Linked DNA regions of Oryctolagus cuniculus. The protein of the gene in region 2 purifies or fractionates together with the protein of the main gene of each other region. This does not show direct contact. Links are inferred from orthologs where the notes say so. Each region holds a gene or a part of one and is shown on either strand. Other genes may lie near its edges.

What was found. Proteins that work in one complex are often made in the same cells at the same time.
Region 1: the proteins of EPC2 (region 2) and MBTD1 purify together in Homo sapiens (affinity purification with mass spectrometry; 3 studies listed by BioGRID and IntAct, with this or other methods). This does not show direct contact. The link is inferred for Oryctolagus cuniculus from reciprocal best matches to the Homo sapiens genes EPC2 and MBTD1.

The regions. Positions count from the first base shown.
Region 1 is NC_091448.1:27,053,661-27,057,763, forward strand, and holds the start of MBTD1 (MBT domain-containing protein 1), read right to left. Parts: upstream 2,801-4,103; 5' UTR 2,471-2,800; exon of another isoform or gene 2,152-2,470; intron 1,610-2,151; 5' UTR 1,547-1,609; intron 1-1,546. Other genes in the region: UTP18 (U3 small nucleolar RNA-associated protein 18 homolog), read left to right, coding at 2,944-3,285. UniProt on the Homo sapiens protein: Chromatin reader component of the NuA4 histone acetyltransferase complex, a multiprotein complex involved in transcriptional activation of select genes principally by acetylation of nucleosomal histones H4 and H2A.
Region 2 is NC_091434.1:93,573,957-93,578,102, reverse strand, and holds the start of EPC2 (enhancer of polycomb homolog 2), read left to right. Parts: upstream 1-1,338; coding exon 1,339-1,491; intron 1,492-4,146. UniProt on the Homo sapiens protein: May play a role in transcription or DNA repair.

The DNA of each region.
Region 1 (4,103 bases), on a different chromosome or scaffold from region 2:
TTTAAAAATAAAACCAGTTGTTCCTGTCTAGTATGTTCAGAATGCAAATATCTCCAAAGCCAGTCAACTTAACTCATGACACTTCATGTTTAAAGCAAGCAGGAAAACAACTTGGAACTGTATTAATTAAAACTTGAAAGACACAATTATGTAGCTCTAGTAATTTTGTTTGTGACGTAGTACTCAATTCCACACTACATTCCATTTTCTAGCTTCAGAGAAAACGCTATACCAAAGTTTACATTAGGATTAAAACTCGGATGGTTGAAAAACATGTCCCAACATAGGACACTCTGAATACTTACTCAAAAACAGATTTTTGCCATAATATGCAACGTATACACAGGCCTTGACTACAGAGTTCTATACAAATAGAAGCTACCTGTTATACAGAGGAGATGGTACAAAAAGAGACAGCTGTTTTCTTTTTAAAGACTTTTGAGTGTTGAGGTAAACAAATGAGAAATAACACCTTTAGCAACCAAAAGCAAAGCAACAGTCTACATATCTTGAGAGGGAGGGGAAAAATTGTGGTCTCTCAGACCTTTTAAACAGGCTATCAGGAACTTAGAGTAAAATGTATTCACTTGCTTTTAGACATGACTTCGACATAATATGTATTAATTCTTACTTCACCATATTAGGAAAGGGAAAACATATGTACCACCACCCCCTTCTTATGCCATCTAAACTACTGGAGGCAGCTAGCTCACAAGGAAAGAGAGCTTTAGACAATCACTGAGTGACAACAGCTGAAGCTGAACTGCCTTAACTACCCAGTGATAAATACTGGGGTGTACTCATGCGAGCAGCATTAAAATACTGCAAATTCTAAGGAAATACTAAGGTGTTGCATAAGCTGCAAGTCTCTCTATGATGGAGTTGCTGGAAGAGGGGCTCCTGGGTGGGAGACCAGCTCTGATAAGTTAAACAAGCGAGAACGCTGGCGGAGGGATGCTGTTCTGCTCAGCTCCACCGGCTGTTTCTTTCTAACGGCTCAGTAGCATCACCACAAGGCAACGCCAGGCTTCCTTAGGGAAAGCGGTTTAGGTAGCAAGCAAACACACTTCATGGTAGGGCTGACTATACCGATGACGCTCAAATGTCCAACTTCAAAAAGATGCACTGACTAGGGAGAGAAAACGGCCTGGAAACCCTCAGACTGTCATTCCCTGGTTTCCTGTGTGTGTGTGTGTGTGTGTGTGTGTAACAAAAAAGCACAACACCAGTTTCTTCAGACGTCTAAGCCAGCACGCTTGACACCGACCCGGCAAAGTTTTCAGCTGGCCCTCGCTCGCCCTCACATTCTCTTTCCTCCACTTCCCTGCCTGCTGTTCTTTCCTGGTACACAAAATATAGGCCAATGAGCAGTGGGTGGGTGAGGAGGATGTGAGAGAAAAATTTGAGAAGTTGGAAAAAAAAAAAAAAAAAAGAGCAACTTCACCAGGACGCGAATGACAGCGGAGGATCTCTAAGGACAGGCACACAGCAATGCGAACCACTGAAACACGGAAGGGGCTTTCCTGCCCGAGGCCAGACTACCTACCACTTGTCAGAGAGGCTGCACGGGGGACGGCGGCCGTGGTGACCTCTAACGTCTCCTCCGACTCTGAAACGTGAGGATTCTCAGTTCACACAGGAGAACGCCGAGCGCACCCAAGCCCACCGCCTCGGGACCCTTCTAAGGGAGCGGCCCCAAACACCACTCCCACCCCGCCCTCCCACACGTGCCCACCCCGCCCCCTTGCAACATTTCCACCTCCACGTGCAAAATGCCTCGCGGCACCTCCCCCGGCAAAGCCCCCAAACCCCGCGCCTGCGACCCCCTGGGAGGTGAGGACTCGGCTCGCCCACCCCGGGCGGCTCAAAAAGGAAAAAGTCTCAGACCCAGCCTTCCCCCCGACCCCCAACCCCCAGCCGCAGCGACACGGGGACGGGGGCGTAGAGAAAAAACTTTCTTTTCAAAATTTCCTTCCCGACTGGATGAGCCGGAGAGAACCTCGACGCGTCCCGGGCTGAGGCAGTGGGGGAGGGGAGCCCCTGAGACGTTTAACGGCCGGTAGGGGGAGGGGGCTCCGCGGGGTGAGGGGGCGTGGGGCGGAGGAGCGGGCCTGGGAGCGGGGTCAGGGAGCTGGAGGCGTGCCCCCCCACCTGGCACACAAAGCGGCTGCCGCGCTCGGCTCTCACCAGATCCTTTGTGTTTTCCATCAGGGCCTCATGGGTAGGGGTTGTCCGTGCTCCCCGAGCCCGCGGCGCCCCCTCCCCGAGCTGGGGGCAGGTGCCTCTCCCCCGGACTGCGGCGACTACAGGGGTTCCCGGCTGGGCCCAGACCGGTGGCGGCTGCAGCAGCCCCCGGATTTCCCCCCTTTAACTCGGGTGGCCCCAGGATATCAACAACATTAGCATAGCCCTCCCTCCCAGCGCGCCTGCGCCGTGACCCGCGCCCCGATTGGCCCACTTCCCCACATACCCTCCTCTCGCTCTTCCAGCGTGGGACCCTCGGCAGGCTCCGTACTCTACGGACCGTACCAAGACCGAGGGTGGGAAAAGTAACTGAGGCTGGCGTTCTGTCGAGTGGCTAGAAAGTCTGGAGGAAAAGGAGGCGTCTCATTCAGTCATCCCAGCTGGTGCTCCTGTTCCCTTAAACGTCTTTCGATATGCTCCAGCTGCGAGGTTGTGTTGGGGAAAATTTTCCACTCCAGTCATGCCGCTTACCCCTACACCCGGAAGATTGCTTCTCCCAAAGGAACTCCCACTCGGGGCGGGGCAGGCGAGGAGGAACAGAGTTACGTAGTGTGGGGGCGGGGAGGGTTGGTCACGTGGCAAGAGGCTGCGCAGGCTCCTTCCGGCCCCCGGGGCTGCGGCGGCCGCGGGAGGTGAGGCGCCTGGGCGCATGCGCTTGAGGTTCCACGTGAGCGCCTGCGTTTCTTCTCAAACTCAACGATGCCGCCGGAACGGAGGAGCCGAACGAAACCGGGCCGGAGAACCGGAGCGAAGCCGGATCGGAAGACTCGAATGAAGCCAGAACGGAGAGCCATTGTGGCGACGGGCGGGCCGCCCCGAAAGTCTGCCCTTTCATCCCAGCAGAAAGCGCCGGCCCGGCCGAGCGCGGCGGCCGCGGCGATGGCAGTCGCGGCGGCGGAGGAAGAGAGACTGCTCCGGCAGCGCAACCGCCTGACGCTGGAGGACGACAAGCCGGACGCGGAGCGGTGTCTGGAGGAGCTGGTCTTCGGCGACGTGGAGGACGACGAGGACGCGCTGCTGCGGCGCCTGCGGGGCCCGCCGGTGAGGGAGGCCGCGGCGCGCGGGCTGGGCGCGCTCGGGCGGGGCGCGCGGTGGGCGGCGAGGCTGCGGGGGCGGAGCCTCGGCGACCTGCGGCGGCGGCGGGCAGCGCTCAGGTGGGAGGGAGCCCGGGGACGCGGGCCCCGGGGGCCGCCGCGGAGCCTCCGCCGCCCCCCGGCGCGGGCCTGCGAGCCTCGGGAGGGCGGGGACCGTGCCTTTCTCCGCCCCCGGAGGAGCCGCTGCGCCGGGTATCCAGCAGGCGCTCAACACGCATTTGTTTCGCTAACTGTAGTCGCGGGCTTCCCTAGCGGCTCGGCTGCGCTCGCCCGCGCCGGAGCTGAGCCCAGCACCCCCGATTCCTGGCGGTGATGCAGGACTTGACGGGATCGCTTGGTGGGCGCGGGTCTGGGAGTCCGCGTCCTGAGCGCTCCCACGTGGGCCTGACGCACAGCAGCTTTGGAGAATGATCGCTTGTGTTCGCCCATTCAGCAAACTCGAGTATTTGCAAATACTGCCAGTGGCACAGCCTGCGTCATTAGGACCGTTAGGTTCTTTATCACTGTAAATTATATTCCTTTTTTTTTTCCTGCCCATATAGGGAGTAAAATTTTAGGCATGCTGTAGATGGACATTGGGGGGAGACACAGCAGTGGGCAGCAGAGGCAGAAGGCACCTAAATTTAAAGTACATCGGTGACAGGTGTGAGGAGAGGAGAACAGAATACCGTGGGGGGCGGGGGAGTTGGTGTGGGTGGGAAGGTTATGGAGTTTCAGGTCAGGTCGCGGGTCAGGGCCTCCCTAAATGGCTCAATGAGGGCTTGT
Region 2 (4,146 bases):
GCAATTATTGCCTGTAGATGTAATTAATCATGCACTGGTGTGTCAACTCCGGGCAGTTTTCAATAATTTGCACTTTTTGTGGATGCCTTTCCCTCCTTTCCCTGCGCTTTTCTTCAGTTAATGAAGTCTCTTACTGCTACTCCTCTTTCCATCTGCCCCAGCGTGAAAGCATCATGAGGGAAGAACTTTGACTTCTTCGCAACACAGCGGAACACACACACACATCTGCCGCTTCGGAAACGTGTGCTGCCTTGGTCAAACGTCCTAAGTTGAACTTTGACGACCCCTGCTATTTTTGAAATCGGAGAAATATCTATCATCCACTAAATAACTCAAGTTTGAGGGACAGGTTCAAGTTCACTTGTTGCATTCGGCAAGCCTCCATCCAGCGCCCTCACGGCTGCCATGAGCATCCTGCCCGAGCAGGCGAGGACGAGAGAGGATGCCATACCTTGGAGAGCTCTTCCGGACAGGTACTGGAGGGCGGATGCGGAGAACAGGGGCTGGGGCGCCTAAGCACCCTCAGAGCCGGCGAGACGGTGCAGAGCTGCGCCCCTCAGAGCGGGCCGAGGGGACCGCCGACCTTTCGCACCTCCCAGAGATGCCCGGAGCGCTAAGCATAGGCTCCGGCGGTGGCTGCTGGGGCCCTGGTCGACATCTATTCCCGCTCACAGAGTTCTGCACACGGGCGCTGCTGGGCGCGGCCGCCTTTTGCCCGGCGCCTTCCTCAGGGGCACTCAGCGAGCCCGCTGACGCCGCCGCGGAAGGCAGAGGCACACGCTTTGGGGCGCGGGTGAACTCGCGCACCTGGCACCTGCCACACCGCGGGAGCGCCGGCCAGTGAGCCGAAGGCGCTGCCGCCGCCGCCGCTTGCCGCCCCCTCTCCCTGGAGCGGCCCGAGGCCGAGCACGTTCCCGTGGGCCGGCGGCGCGGCGGAGAGAGTGGGTGGGCAGGCGAGGGAGGGGAAGGGAGAGGAAGGAGGGAGGGAGGGAGGGAGAGGGCGAGGCGCGTCCCCGCGGCGGGGGCGCGCTCTCGCGCGGGCTGCCGGGATCGCTCGCCGCCGCTGTGGTAATGTCCGCCATGTTGGCCATGGCGCAGGGAGCGGATCGGGCGGGCGAGCGGCGGATCTAGTGTGTGGAAGCGGCCGCGGGCGGCGGGGGGCTGTTTTCGGGCGGGGTGGGCGCCCATGCTGTGGCCGGGGGCAGTGAGGAGGAGGAGGAGGAGCGGGCCGGCCGCGCTGCACTGAGGAAGGAGGTGGAGGAGGCGGCGGGAGTCCTCCCCCCCTCCCCGCCCGCCCCGCCGCCGCCGCCCGGGCTGTTCCTGTAAGGCGGGGAGACAATGAGTAAACTCTCCTTCCGAGCGCGGGCGCTGGACGCCGCCAAACCGCTGCCTATCTACCGCGGCAAGGACATGCCTGATCTCAACGACTGCGTCTCCATCAACCGGGCCGTGCCCCAGATGCCCACCGGGATGGAGAAGGAGGAGGAATCGGTAGGGACTCGAGTGTTTATTACCCCCCCTCTCCCTCCTCCCCCCTCCCCTTTGTCAGTCGGGCCTCGCCATTCACAGAGCGCTTTACGCTCGCTGGAGGGCGCCGCTGTCGCTCCAACGCATGGGACCCTACGCTGGCGGAGTAGCGTAAACCCTCTCGGCCGGCGCAGCGCCCGCCCGCGGCCGCCATGTTGTTGCGTCCCAGTGTTGTGATTAGCTCGCAGCGCCGCTTACGCTGCCGTAAGGGGGCCTTGCCGTAAGCGGCGGCCGGGAATGGCGCAGGGGCTGCGCTGGGCGCACTTGGCGTACGGCCTCTGTTTACCTTTCAAAAAAAAAAAAAAAAAAAAGTGTCCGCTGGCACGGGGTTAGTTAATAGCGAGGGTGTCTTTGGCTGGTACAGATTATGCGTGTGCGTGTCTGTGTATAGTTCCTTCTAGTTTTAAGTTTGGTTTAGCATTGAGTGCTGTTTGAAATGACTTACGGAAAGTAAAGCGCTTTCAAAACAAACATCTTCCCCCTCCTAGGAAGGGAATGTCGCTGCCCCTACCAGGGCTGCTGCAGCGAGTGCGGCCCTGCGGAGGGGAAAGGGCCGAGGCCTCGACTCCCGAGCGGGACGCCGGGTTAGCCAGCTGGAGCCGGACGCGGGGTGCGGGGCGCGGGGCGCGGGGCGGGCGGGCTCTGCCGGCGTCGCCGGTGCGGCCTCCGCTCACTGCGCCGCGTTCGAGAGGAACCGGGGATGCTCGAAACGAGCCGCCGGCGCGGCGCTGTCCCGGCGCTGTGACCCCGCGACATGGCCTTGGTTGGAGGAGGGTGGTCCTTTTGGAAGTAGAGGATTTACTGCATATAAGTTGACAGCTGTGTTTTTGATTATATGCCTTGTAGCATAAAAGCTGTTTCCCCCACCTCTGGGTTAAATTTTGCATAAGGTTGAATTTTGCTCTGGGTTGACAGTGTTTATGACTCTGGAGTGGTGTTCCTTGCATGCGAAGTTCATAGTAACTGCACCTTCAAGAATTTCTTCAATGAACCCACGGTCCCGCCTTATTGTCAACCTCGGGTCTGTGTGGATTGGTTCTCTTGCCTCTGTGACTGTCAAAAGAAAGCTCTAGGTTTCCGTGATTGGTTTTCTCTTTTGACTGTTAAGATTGCAGGAAATGCTTTTATGCCTTTGATTGGCTGCTTGAGTTCTGACCTCATTACGTTACCCTGCTATTACTACTTTCCTCTGTGATTTTAATCACATTTCTCCTTGGTGTTTGATCACCTGGAAGTCTTACATTTTCAGCAGAAAATGAATATAGCTGTGACATCAGGATGCACGATCAGTTTTTAAAATTAAAAAGTAAATAGGATAAAAGCCCAAAATTTAAGCCTAAGGTTTAGAGCTGAATGAGAGAATTTTGTTTTTTTAAAATAAAATTTGGTCCTAACTAAGCTCAGTTTTTCATGGGAAAGATAATTGAAATAAGAGGATAATACGTATTAGAATTAATTGATGAACTTTAAAAAAACTGGGGCCGGCGCTGTGGCACAACGGGTTAACGCCCTGGCCTAAAGCGCCAGCATCCCATATGGGCGCCGGTTCTAGTCCCGGCTGCTCCTCTTCCCATCTAGCTCTCTGCTGTGGCCTGGGAAAGCAGTGGAGGATGGCCCAAGTGCTTGGGCCCCTGCACCCACACAGGAGACCCGGAAGAAGCTCCTGGCTTCTGGCTTCTTCTGATCCGCGCTGCTGCGGCAGTTGCGGCCAGTGGGGGAGTGAACCAGTGGATGGAAGACCTCTCTCTCCTCTCTATTCTCTCCTCCTCTCTCTCTCTCTCTCTCTCTCTCTCTCTCTCTCTGCCTCTCCTCTCTCTGTGTAACTCTTTCAAATAAATAAATAAGTCTTTAAAAAACAGAAACAAAATTTGGAAGTTTTTGTTGGTTTTCAGGCTTAAAAGAACCAGTAGTGGGGCCAGCGCTGTGGTGTAGCGGGTAAAGCCAGCTCTCTGCTATGGCCTGGGAAAGCAGTGGAGGATGCCCTGCACCCGTGTGGGAGCCCGGAAGAAGCTTCTGGTTCCTCGTTTCGGGTCTGAGTCTCCTGTTGTGGCTGTCAGGGAAGTGAACCAGCAGATGGAAGAGCTGCCTCTGTCTCTCTGTCTCCCTCCCTCTCTCCCCCTCCCCCTCTTCTCTGCCTCCCCCTCTCCCTCTCTCCCCTCTTTGCTTCTGCCTCTCTGTAACTCTACCTTTCAAATAAATAAATCTTAAAAAAAAAAAAAAAGAACTACTAGGGTACAAAATTACTTGGATCCTATTATTTTAGAACCTGAGTCAGAAAACCTGTTCTAGAATGAACAGTTAATCCCTGGAAGGTACATTACTTTTTGCAGTCAGCTCCTACTTGGTCTTAAGCTTGTCACATATGTTTTATTATTTTAATTTAGGAGAAAACTTGCAGATTTTTAAAATGTTCTTTTAAAAATAAGCACTTAACAAGCCCTGTCACAGTTTGGTCATTAACTTTTTTCAATAAAACTTGGTTTTCAATCCAGAGCATTAGTGCTTGTATTCTTTTTAGAAGTCTGCTTTAACTGCTCAGTTTTAAGGAAGAAGAAATCCAGATTTGGATAGAACCTGAGTTGATACTGAGGACTTTTCTCGGTCCTATTCTTTCTGCTT